Linked DNA regions of Xenopus tropicalis. The protein of the gene in region 3 purifies or fractionates together with the protein of the main gene of each other region. This does not show direct contact. Links are inferred from orthologs where the notes say so. Each region holds a gene or a part of one and is shown on either strand. Other genes may lie near its edges.

The links. The genes of interacting proteins can lie anywhere in the genome.
Region 1: the proteins of g3bp1 (region 3) and vcp purify together in Homo sapiens (affinity purification with mass spectrometry; 3 studies listed by BioGRID, with this or other methods). This does not show direct contact. The link is inferred for Xenopus tropicalis from reciprocal best matches to the Homo sapiens genes G3BP1 and VCP.
Region 2: the proteins of g3bp1 (region 3) and stau1 purify together in Homo sapiens (affinity purification with mass spectrometry; 3 studies listed by BioGRID and IntAct, with this or other methods). This does not show direct contact. The link is inferred for Xenopus tropicalis from reciprocal best matches to the Homo sapiens genes G3BP1 and STAU1.

Annotation. Positions count from the first base shown.
Region 1 is NC_030677.2:212,825,784-212,829,723, forward strand, and holds the start of vcp (transitional endoplasmic reticulum ATPase), read right to left. Parts: upstream 2,801-3,940; 5' UTR 2,688-2,800; coding exon 2,671-2,687; intron 1-2,670. UniProt on the Homo sapiens protein: Necessary for the fragmentation of Golgi stacks during mitosis and for their reassembly after mitosis. Involved in the formation of the transitional endoplasmic reticulum (tER).
Region 2 is NC_030686.2:38,141,391-38,145,422, reverse strand, and holds the start of stau1 (double-stranded RNA-binding protein Staufen homolog 1), read right to left. Parts: upstream 2,801-4,032; 5' UTR 2,596-2,800; intron 1-2,595. UniProt on the Homo sapiens protein: Binds double-stranded RNA (regardless of the sequence) and tubulin.
Region 3 is NC_030679.2:16,830,804-16,834,654, forward strand, and holds part of g3bp1 (ras GTPase-activating protein-binding protein 1), read right to left. Parts: intron 2,136-3,851; coding exon of another isoform or gene 2,117-2,135; coding exon 2,022-2,116; intron 513-2,021; coding exon 431-512; intron 353-430; coding exon 179-352; intron 1-178. UniProt on the Homo sapiens protein: Protein involved in various processes, such as stress granule formation and innate immunity. Plays an essential role in stress granule formation.

The DNA of each region.
Region 1 (3,940 bases), on a different chromosome or scaffold from region 3:
TCCAGCTGCAGAACTGGGGAAGGGCTACATTGTTTGAAGAGTCAGAACCAGAAGTACAGCCCTATTTCCTGCCAATTAGCGGGCACAGATGCCATTTACCCACAGGGTACGGGATCCTGGATACATCAGCATCTCCCAATGGGGTATCACTATCAGCCAAGTGTGTGTGGGGCTCCTCCAGTCTCCTGCAGTTCCACTTCTCACCTCAGGGGGGGGGATAATAACACCCAGGTTGCTAAGGGTATCGCTTGGCACCGGTTATAAAGAGAGTTGGGACAAGGAGGGGGGATGGGGGGGCTACTCCATATAATATTGGGCAGGTTTGGGCAAATGTATAGAGATTTATATAAATGTGGAGCAGAAGGGGAGGAGAGCACCCCAAGAGCCCAGGGGCAGGTAGGTAGGTGGGCGCTGGGGATCCAGAAGGTCAGACTGTAGTGCGGGGGGGGGGCTTCTCTCACGAGGGGCAGGAAAGCTTAGCATGGCCGTTCCCTCTGGGGGCAGGGGCATTTGTGCTGACAGGGGAGAACCATTCATTGGGCAAAGCGCAGGGACCCAGCAGGGAGCAGGCCCAGAGCACATGGGGGCCCGAGGGTCAGCCAATAGGCATGGGCACACAGATATAACCCCCCCAGCTGCAGTTGGTATAACCCTGGTGTATCTCTCTGCACTGCCTGTTCTGGAACGTACCATTGTAATGGCAGGGGTAGGTCCTGCCCAAACCCCACTAACTGGCCAGTGATTAGGATGAGGTGGCACGGCCCCTCTCTATGCTGTGAGTGCCAGCAGCTGTGGGCACCGGTGCCAGCATCATAAAGCAGTTCCACTGGCACCTTGGCACTGGGCCACAGGCACATACTCACACCCAGGCAGTGTGCCAGCGGCCCAAATGGGCAGGGTTATACATATTTGATAGGGTACATCAGCCATAGCTCAGATTGGGATGCAGACAAAGGGCCAATAAGAGTTCCCGGCAAGTTGCCTCATTTCTGGCAGGTTTCCATGGATACCCACCCTCATGCCCAGCTATGGCTCCTATTATACCCAAAGGGTACCCTGTGTTGCCAATGTCAGGTTCTCTATAGCAACCAGCGTTCAACTAGATACGGTGACTGGACTACAACTCCCAGCATCCCCCACAGCAGCTGGAGATCAGCCACTGTACAAGGCCTGGTACTACTACAGGCTCCCTGTACCCCACTAATGTCATACAGTATAAACCCATGCTGCTAGTGGCCTACAACTCCCAGCATCCCCCAAGGCGGCTAGTGCCCCCAGACATGATATTAGAGGCAGGGCACCCTAATCCTGATGTTGGACTACAACTCCCAGCATCCCCCAAGGCAGCTAGGGCCCCAAGCATGATATTAGAGGCAGGGCACCCTAATCCTGATGTTGGACTACAACTCCCAGCATCCCCCAAGGCGGCTAGGGCCCCAAGCATGATATTAGAGGCAGGGCACCCTAATCCTGATGTTGGACTACAACTCCCAGCATCCCCCAAGGCAGCTAGGGCCCCAGTCATGATGATATTAGAGGCAGGGCACCCTAATCCTGATGTTGGACTACAATTCCCAGCATCCCCCAAGGCAGCTAGGGCCCCAGACATGATATTAGAGGCAGGGCACCCTAATCCTGATGTTGGACTACAATTCCCAGCATCCCCCAAGGCGGCTAGGGCCCCAAGCATGATATTAGAGGCAGGGCACCCTAATCCTGATGTTGGACTACAACTCCCAGCATCCCCCAAGGCGGCTAGGGCCCCAAGCATGATATTAGAGGCAGGGCACCCTAATCCTGATGTTGGACTACAACTCCCAGCATCCCCCAAGGCGGCTAGGGCCCCAAGCATGATATTAGAGGCAGGGCACCCTAATCCTGATGTTGGACTACAACTCCCAGCATCCCCCAAGGCAGCTAGGGCCCCAGTCATGATGATATTAGAGGCAGGGCACCCTAATCCTGATGTTGGACTACAATTCCCAGCATCCCCCAAGGCAGCTAGGGCCCCAGACATGATATTAGAGGCAGGGGATCCTAATCCAGATGTTGGACTACAACTCCCAGCATCCCCCAAGGCAGCTAGGGCCCCAGACATGATGATATTAGAGGCAGGGCACCCTAATCCTGATGTTGGACTACAATTCCCAGCATCCCCCACAGCAGCTGGAGATCAGCCACTGTACAAGGCCTGGTACTACTGCAGACTCCCTGTACCCCACTAATGTCATACAGTATAAACCCATGCTGCTAGTGGCCTACAATTCCCAGCATCCCCCAGGGCAGCTAGGGCCCCAGACATGATGATATTAGAGGCAGGGCACCCTAATCCTGATGTTGGACTACAACTCCCAGCATCCCCCAAGGCAGCCAGAGGTGACCCACTGGAAAAGACAAGGCTCTCCCGGCAGGTTTCCTGTAGGTCAGTCCCGGCAGGCAGGGTACCATTCCCAGCAGATAACACTGGGGCCGGCTGTTGGCAGGGAATGCTGGGAGTTGTAGTCCTGCCGGTAGGTGCCGCTGTGAGGGGTGCATGACACAGCAGGATGAGGAGGCCGCAGTAGGCCGCACACCCCGGGTCCCGCTGTGCCAGCCAATGGGCGGAGCTCCCGGCGGCGGCGTCCCACCGGCACCCACAGACCCCCCTCAGCCCGCTCCCCGGTAACTCACTCGGATCCGGAAGCCATGCTCGGTGTCCGGCCTGTGCCGCTCCGCTGCCGGTAAGGAGAAACTGAGCGCTCGGTTCCTGCCGCTTATCAGGTGTTTCGGTCCCGTCCCGCCTGTGAGTCCCGCTGTTCCCTCTCGCTGCTCCGCTCGCTGCCCCGCTGTCCGTTCTCTCGCTTTCACTGTGTGACTGACCGAGGGAAAGGAGGAGGAGCGCCGGCGGCTGGGCGGGGCTTACACACACAGGAGGGTAAAGTGCAGCATCACTGTCCGCCGTCTGCGCTTGCGTCTTAATACTGCAACCAATCAGCGGGGCCCAGAACTGACGGGTGATGAGCAAGGAATGATGGGATATAGGCCACGCCTCTAGCGTCCTACCCGGCCGCCGCTTCTGATTGGTCCGTAAAGATGAAGGCGCACTGCAATGAAGGAGCCTACCGCGTCTGTCCTACTAACTCCTAGCAACTGCGCGTCTGGCCGACTGGGATTGGTCAAAAAACGGAAAAGGGGGCGTGTCACCAGGAAGAAGCCGCACAAAAGAGAAACAAATTCTGAGGTTGGCCGACTGTCAGTCAACTCGCTGAGCGGCGTGACAGGGCAATTTACTCACAACAGATGGAATATGGCGCCCAGCCACATACAATAAATGAAGTTTGGCCATTGTAATGTGATATGGCCCCTGGGCCTGTAGCCATGCACCCACTAGTAGCTTCACCCATAAGGAGTAATACATGTGCCCCAACTGTACTACATGTTAGCCCCTCCCCCTGCAGTTCCTGGGCTACAAGCTCTCAATCTATTGCCCCTCACATGGCAGTGATCGCTCATTATCTGCCCTGTCTGTAAGGCAATGCATTGTGGGTAATTTCCCCTACCTGCCCAGAGCTGAGGTAACATTGACCCACAAAGTGCCATAATATCACACATTGGGCAGGCCTGGCACTGGGAGAGAAGCTGGCACACAGGGGGTTAATGGTTCAGTTTATTGTGGGGAACTGATGGTGTTTTGCTGGACTAACTGGCAGTAAGTTACCTGGTGGGAATTGTTTCTATTCATATAAACATTCCTTCCAATCCTTAAAGCCATTAAAGGGGAAATATGTCCCCATTCTTTACACATGGAACAAGGTACATAAACATAGGAATATATGTTTGTTTGTTTTTAAACAGATATACCTAAAGGGTGGCCATACACCTCCCCAAACAAGTGGCTCTTCTCCTGATATTCCCATCTAAGGTGCCCAATATCGGGTTAATTCAATCGTTTGGCCCTAGG
Region 2 (4,032 bases), on a different chromosome or scaffold from region 3:
GTGTAGGATTTCTGTCTAACAAACCCAAATGCACCATTACTTTACAACCAATTAGCAATCAGCTTACTCCAAGTTAGAAAGTGAAAGCAGGGATCTGATTGGTTATTGGTGGTTGTACTCGCAAGCCTCTGTCATGAAATCCGCTACCATGGTTTCACGTATACTTTTTGGAAACGTTTCCCTGCCCTGCTGCCATATTTATATCAAATTTTGCCCTCTTCCACCGCTGCTGGGAGAAACAGCCATCTGGTTTCTAGGGTCAACAACCCCCAGCAACTATAAAACTCATAAGTTGTCTTTGCTAATTTTTTTTTTTTTGTTAAATTAAATTACGATTATTCAGACACGGTTTTGTCTGAGGGGGTCAGTGAGTTGATTTCCAAAATTCATAAAAATAGGGAAGATTGCAAACTAAAACTAAACTGTACCGTGAATTTCCCCTTTTTTATATTAACAACAAAAAAAAAAAGATACATTTGGGAGCAAGGGTTCTGCCTATGTAGCCATAAGCACAGCGGCACTGCGAGTTGCTGCAATGGGAAACACTGTGCAAGCGGTGACGAGAGGTCCCCTTACCCAATGTTTAAAAAGCAAGGGGAAGTTTGCAATTATCCAATTGCTTTTTTTTATATATGTTGCCTTTTTGCTTAAGGATAGAAAATGTAAATACTTTCCAATACACATGAAACACCAAGCTTCAGTTGTTCTGAAGTTCTCTAAATATAGGTGCTAGTGAAAGCAGTGTGTGTCTGGCTGTTTATATTCTCTGCTCGGCTGATTCTGACTTTTGACCCAGACCAGCTGAGAAGAACTTCTGCTACAGTGCAGAATGGGACAGAGAAATGCATTATTAGCAATTACATTTGCAAAGAACTTGACAATGGTTTTAAAGAATGTATATTGGAAAGTGGCTTAGAATGGCATTTTTGTTAATTAAGCAAATTGTGCATTGTGTCATTTTGGGTTCATATCCCCTATAAGTCTGGGTAAAGCAGTAGAAGGGCACCCATAGGGCAGAACTACACAGGAGCTTGTCCTCGCGCTGACAGATCACTGTGTGTTTGTATGAGGTGGTTCTACTTTGCCTTTAATATGGTAATTGCTGTGCATGTAGCGTATAATGTAACGCACCACCTCAGGGAAATGTGTGCAGTGGGTGTCGGAAATGGGGAGCACAGAACCGGACACACTCACTAGGTGAGACGCACTATAAAGTGGGGTATTTGGAATAGGGGTGCAAAGAGTTTACTAAATATGGAGGCGCATTACACAGGTATGTTGGTTCAGAGGGCACACTGGATAGGTACAGAGGGGGGCAGCAGCTTTAATGGCACAGTGGGTATGTAGAGAGCAGGAGGCACACAGGGTATGGACAGTACGGGGGGCACAATAAATATGTATGAAGGGAAAAAGCTCATGGGTACGAATACTGTAATAATGCACAGACAGGGGCGGCATCTAAAAAGCATATTGGAACTGTATAACAAGAGACACTGCAGATGGAGGATGTGGGTGCAGGGAGCACAATGGGAGCAAGAACATTGAGAGGGTCTATAGAGGGGCCACTGGGGAAGGATGTGAGGGCAGGGGTGCACTAGGTACAAAGGGCCCAGTGTGCAGGGGTTTGGGCGCTGAGGGCGCAGTGGGCAGGGGTTTGGGCGCTGAGGGCGCAGTGGGCAGGGGTTTGGGCGCTGAGGGCGCGGGTTTGGGTGCTGAGGGCGCAGTGGGCAGGGGTTTGGGCGCTGAGGGCGCAGTGGGCAGGGGTTTGGGCGCAGTGGGCAGGGGTTTGGGCGCTGAGGGCGCAGTGGGCAGGGGTTTGGGCGCTGAGGGCGCAGTGGGCAGGGGTTTGGGCGCTGAGGGCGCAGTGGGCAGGGGTTTGGGCGCTGAGGGCGCAGTGGGCAGGGGTTTGGGCGCTGAGGGCGCAGTGGGCAGGGGTTTGGGCGCTGAGGGCGCAGTGGGCAGGGGTTTGGGCGCTGAGGGCGCAGTGGGCAGGGGTTTGGGCGCTGAGGGCGCAGTGGGCAGGGGTTTGGGCGCTGAGGGCGCAGTGGGCAGGGGTTTGGGCGCTGATGGCGCGGTGGGCAGGGGTTTGGGCGCTGAGGGCACAGTGGGTAGGGGTTTGGGCGCTGAGGGCGCAGTGGGTAGGGGTTTGGGCGCTGAGGGCCCAGTGGGCAGGGGTTTGGGCGCTGAGGGCGCAGTGGGCAGGGGTTTGAGCGCTGAGGGCGCAGTGGGCAGGGGTTTGGGCGCTGAGGGCGCAGTGGGCAGGGGTTTGGGCGCTGAGGGCGCAGTGGGCAGGGGTTTGGGCACTGAGGGCACAGTGGGCAGGGGTTTGGGCGCTGAGGGCACAGTGGGCAGGGATTTGGGCTCAGTGGGCATAGTGAGCAGGTGTATGGGTGCAAAGGGCACAATGGGCAGGAATATGGGTGGAGGGTGAGACAGAGACTGGGGTGGGTACAGAAGAAGTATCCAAGTCGGGGACCAACAATTTCCCAGACGCCCCAGCGCTTTGCAAAGTCCCTGCCCAGTAGGCGCTCCCTCCCCCCTGCCAGTGGGCCTGCTCCCACCCAGCCCCGCTCCCACCCAGCCCCGCTGGCTCACCTTCTCTCTGTCTTCGTCCCTGCTGTGTGCCCGGGAGTGGAAGGGAAGGCGCTCACACCCTAGTCCATGTAGTGAAGCGGGGGCTCGGTACCAGGAGACCGGCGGAAAGAGGAAGGGGGGAGACTCGGACACGGCAAACACTAAAGAGAATGGAGAGCCGGAGATTCCGGAAGTGACGTCACCAGCCGGGCGGAATGGTTTAGGGGCGGGGAATGAAGGAAAGGCGGGGCTATAGTACCGGCTGGTGTGTGTCTGCTTGGCGGAGTGTTTGTGAGATGCGGCAATGGGAATAGGCTTGCGGGGATTAATCGGGTTTAATCGGGTTTAATCATGCTGATTACACTACTGGCACCCCCCCGGGGCTGAGTATCTGTAGTATTTCCCTCTGACATGGCTATGGCTGGGAATCTTACAATCAATGGAGCTGAGAAAGGTGCAAGGTGTGCGCTGGGTCCCACTTGTACCAACCAATCAAAAATGACCTTTTACTTGCCTCCTGTAAAAGCAAACCTTATTGGTTGTTATTGGTTACGGTACCCGGGCGGACTTTGTGCCTTTCCTTGCATGTGAGAGAATGTGTGAAACTTTACTCAGTGGGGGGCTATAGAGAAAATGCCTCCTATTCACAGGGGTTGGGGGACACCTGCTTGGAACTGTGAGAGACCTAGGAGCGATCCTCCAGCTGAGGCTTGCCCAGGCTGCAACTAGCCAAAGGCTTTCACATCAACAAGCACAGGGTTAACTCTGAATGAGCCAATCACCAAGCCCCTGGGCTTCCCATAGATATTTGGGTGGAATTCCAGAGTCCCTTTATGATGCCCTTCCCAAAGGTCCATCTCTCTCTTGTCCTATAATTGCTCCCCAAATCCCCTCATTCTTCAGCCCCAGAAATACCTAGCCCAGGTAAGGAGGACTCTGCAAATGGCTGCATGCTCTTAGGCTGATGCCACACGTGGCGTTTTTACGCTGCGTATTTTCTAATTCTCTCGGCGGCTGAAAAACGCACGATATCATCATCCGTAGAAATAACTTAAACAGTCTCGATGGAAACCACACTATGCGTAAATACCATACAAAACGCCTTAGCACGGATTTTTCAAGCGTTGGCCGAAATACGCCAGTATTTGCACAGCAAGCTATTCCTATGTATACACAAAGGCAGCTGCCAGACCTAGCGGAAATAGGCGGCGTTTTTACTATTTCGCACTATTAGCACCATGGAAACGGGATTTGCTGCGTCACCAGTACTAGGCTGAAAAACGCCATAGTCAGGGGCTGTGTGGCGTTTTTAGGCGGAGAAAATACGCAGCGTAAAAACGCCACTTCTGGCATTAGCCTTAGGGGTAAATGAGCAGCAACACAGCTTCCTGAGCACCCTTGTGACTTGGGCTGTAGAGTTCAGACTGTAACACCTAAAAAAAAAAAGTGTTAGGATCC
Region 3 (3,851 bases):
GAAAATATTCATCTTAATCACATTCAAGAAAACTGGCAAAAATGACAATTTAAGGAGCATTAACCTCTGACAAAATTCTTCATAGAGAGAAGAGAATGATGCTGCAATCTACCAACATTGGCACATAACATGTAATACAAATAATAATAATACAAGTACAAAAATAAATGCACCTCACCTCTGGTGCCAATACAAATGTCTGCATGAATCGACGCATAGGCTGCCTGTTGTTCGACAATTCTCCCATGACTTGCACCACTACGCCATCATTCAGAGTGGCGTGCGCATCAACATGGCGGATCTTTGTGCGGCAATCTTTGAAATTCAAAGACATTACTTTTTTGTGGATGTCCTGCAGAAAAGGAGAAATGATTAGCACAATTTCTTGTGATCTGACTTTGAAATGGTTATGACTTCAAGATATACTTACAGTCTGCCCATAAACAGCCTCTGCAGGTTTTCCATTGGTGTCCAAGCCACCATGAACATAGGAAGAACTTTTTCCATAAAACCTAACAAAAAAAAAAAAGGGAATTCCTTTAAAGGAAAACTATACTCCCAGAACGAATATTTAACCATAACCAACAGATCATATGTGGCCTATTAAAGAAACTTAAACTGATAACGTCGTTTGGCAGATAAAGACACTCTCTGCAGAGTTTTTAGTGATGACAGCCCCCTGGGCAATGAGCCAGGGGGCTGTCATGTTGGCCCTGCGATCATCGTGTCTGCTTCTTGCTCCCAGCTTCCTGGATCCCATAAAACTATATATATTTGGTATTGGCACGTTCAGGAGACATGGGACTTTCCAAATCAGTTGTATTTTTGTGCATAAAATTTTTGTTTCTGGTATGTGTTTATATTATGAAAAATATGATTTTTTTAAATTTTTAGACATTAAGACTAAAAGTTCCCCCGAGGAAAGGCCCCTAAAGTGAAACAGTGCAAAATGTTAAACTGTCTGGCAATACAAGTTCCTCTTTGACCAAAACGGCTGGCAGTGAAAGGGTTAAAAAACTAATAGAAAAATCTGATGTGTAAACTATATGAAAAATTTGCCATCCAACAAGCCACACCCTGTCTGAGGAAAAAGTGCATGCGGCATCTTAATCCGACAAGAAAATATAATTGTGTCTGACAGACTTGTTTCTCATTAAAACACATTGATGGTGAGATGTAGATGCAGGAACAAAACACACCATCTGTCTGAACCGGTTTACATACAGCATGAAAAATGTGCTGAAAAACTCCCCCTCGGCTTATACTCGAGTCGATATACTCGGACACTGTGCTGTTGCGCACGGGGTGGGGTGGGGGGACAGCACAGTGATACTTAGTATGCAGCGTGGATGGGTGCACACACATGGATGGCACGCATGCTGGCATAAACTGAAGCAGGTAATCGGGTAATTGAACACTATCTAAAATTATTTCAATTGTACTTTTTAAGATGATTTTCTAGCCATGGGGCCCTTGCCTTACACCCCAAAAAACAGCCTCTCAGACTCTGCTTGTAACAATTCTAAAGTAGATTTCCATAGCAAAGAGAGAAGTGCGTGCTAAATCAGTATCAAAAAGACTACATACTTTCAAGCACAAGTATGTAGTCTTCTTGATACTGATTATTTTGCGATAAAAGGAGGTTAATCAGAAATCAATGGCATGATTACAAGAAGGCTGTTATTGTGGCATAAACTTAAAGGCAGGAGGGTCAAAGGGTCCTCCATCCACCTTTCCCTAATCACCTTTTCTAATCTGCAGCTGCCAACATGATATATTTATGAAGAGTTCACAGAGGGTCACGCCGAGTGTCCTTTTATTAATTATTTGATTATTGAAACTTAGCAGTAGCGACTGCATTTCCCACCCTAGGCTTATACTCGAGTCAATACGTTTTTCCAGTTCTTAGGTAAAATTAGGTACCTCGGCTTATATTCGGATTGGCTTATACTCGAGTATATACGGTAAATAAATAAGAATAAAAAAAAAATAAAGGTAAAGCTCTACTGTGTAAAACATACCTGTGGAGAAAGTCTGGTGCCTGGTTAAGCAGAGTATAATACTGCCTCACAAATTCCCGCCCGACAAGCAGGGGACTTGGCTTCTCCATCACCATTTCTTTGGTCAACTGAAATCTAAACAAAAATATTAAAAATATAATTTAGGCCAGGTCTGGGGGGAAAAATGGTTTACAAAATGCAAAAATATAATCAAAGCAAATAATATGAAGAAAGCGATTACCATTACTGGCACAACTATAAGGTCTCTGGCCAAACCAAAATACATTCAGTGATTTCATCAAGAAGCCTTGGGCCATCAGATCAGCAAAGTTTAACGCATTGCCAAAGTGCACAACATACCAATGGATTGGCATGACTGAAAGCACTACACAAGCCTTCCAAATCACTTTCATTTTTTGGCGTTACTGTTCCTTTAAGCAAGGGGCATTTTTAGACGGTCCGTCATCTGTTTTAGTGTAGATTTACCTTAGAAGACAAATCTCATGTGCAAGCACGCTGCCAGCACAACGGTAAAACGTTTGCAGACACATAAAAGGTTAAAAGACGAGTCCACACCTGTTAAATTCTATTTTTTTTTTTTTTACAACAAAACTGTTTTAAATCATTGATAACTGAAACAGCTAAAAATTATATGGGCTAATGTTCTATTAGCTATAAAAATGTTATGGCAATAGGTAACTTAAAAGTTGCATGACAAAAGTTTTCTTTTAAGGGACGATACAGCTTAACAAGACTGCACAGGCTTAAGCAACACATTCCATTAGTGTTTTTAAATAGGGAGGGCTAACATTAGAAGTTGCAACACAGCTTCTAACTTAAATGAATACAAGAAGCCTAATGAGCTTATTACAGTTTGTGACTTCAGCATCTCTAAGCCTGCTTGTCACATGGCTCAGATTAATTACTATGTAACCATGCAATAATGGTTGAATTGTTTCTAGCAACAGCATACAAAGACAACAAAATTCCTCTAAAATAACGCCAAGGAAGTCAGGTCAAAAAAGGTGGAAAACACTAAAGCAAAATAAAATAAGATAAGCTACATTACACATTGAAAGCTTAGCCAAGACAAGCATGACTATTAATGGCAACTGGTAATATCTCCTGCTCACATTTCTTAAGACTGCTAGGAATTCGGCGAAAGCCTATACAAATGCAAATTCAAGGAGAAGGCTGGAAAGCTAAATTAAACTACATGTTATAGTTTCTCTAAGAAGGGGCATATTAGGAAAAATGCAGGAAAATTTCTGTAATATGATTAGTAAAATATCCAAGAGAAATCATGATTGACAGTCGAGTATGTGTGATGAAGTCAGCATAACCAATTGCCACCGAACAGCCCCAGGACAATATAACACTGTGGCTGTAATTTTAACATGAAGTTTCTTGAGAAAAGCCCTTCTAAAAATGATAGTTTAAGTGAAGGCACACCTATAGAGATGTATGTAAATAAAATATGGATAATCTCTATTAACCACTTAGCCACAGGGCTGCACAGCAAGCATTTCCTTCAGTATTGTTATAGCTGCAGTGCTTGAGATACTGCTGCCCGGCTCATACACCTCTCCAACCGCTCCTCCTCTGCCATGCCGCTCTGCCAATCCCTGCACTGGCTTCCCCTACCATCCAGGATAAAATTCAAGCTATTGACCCTCACATTTAAAGCAGTCCATAACTCTGCCCCACCCTACATCTCTGAACTCATCTCTAGGTACCATCCAACCCGCTTGTTACGCTCCTCTACTGACCTGCTCCTCAACTCCTCTCTCATTCCCTCCTCACACGCTCGCATTCAAGACTTTGCAAGGGCTGCCCCCCTTCTCTGGAATT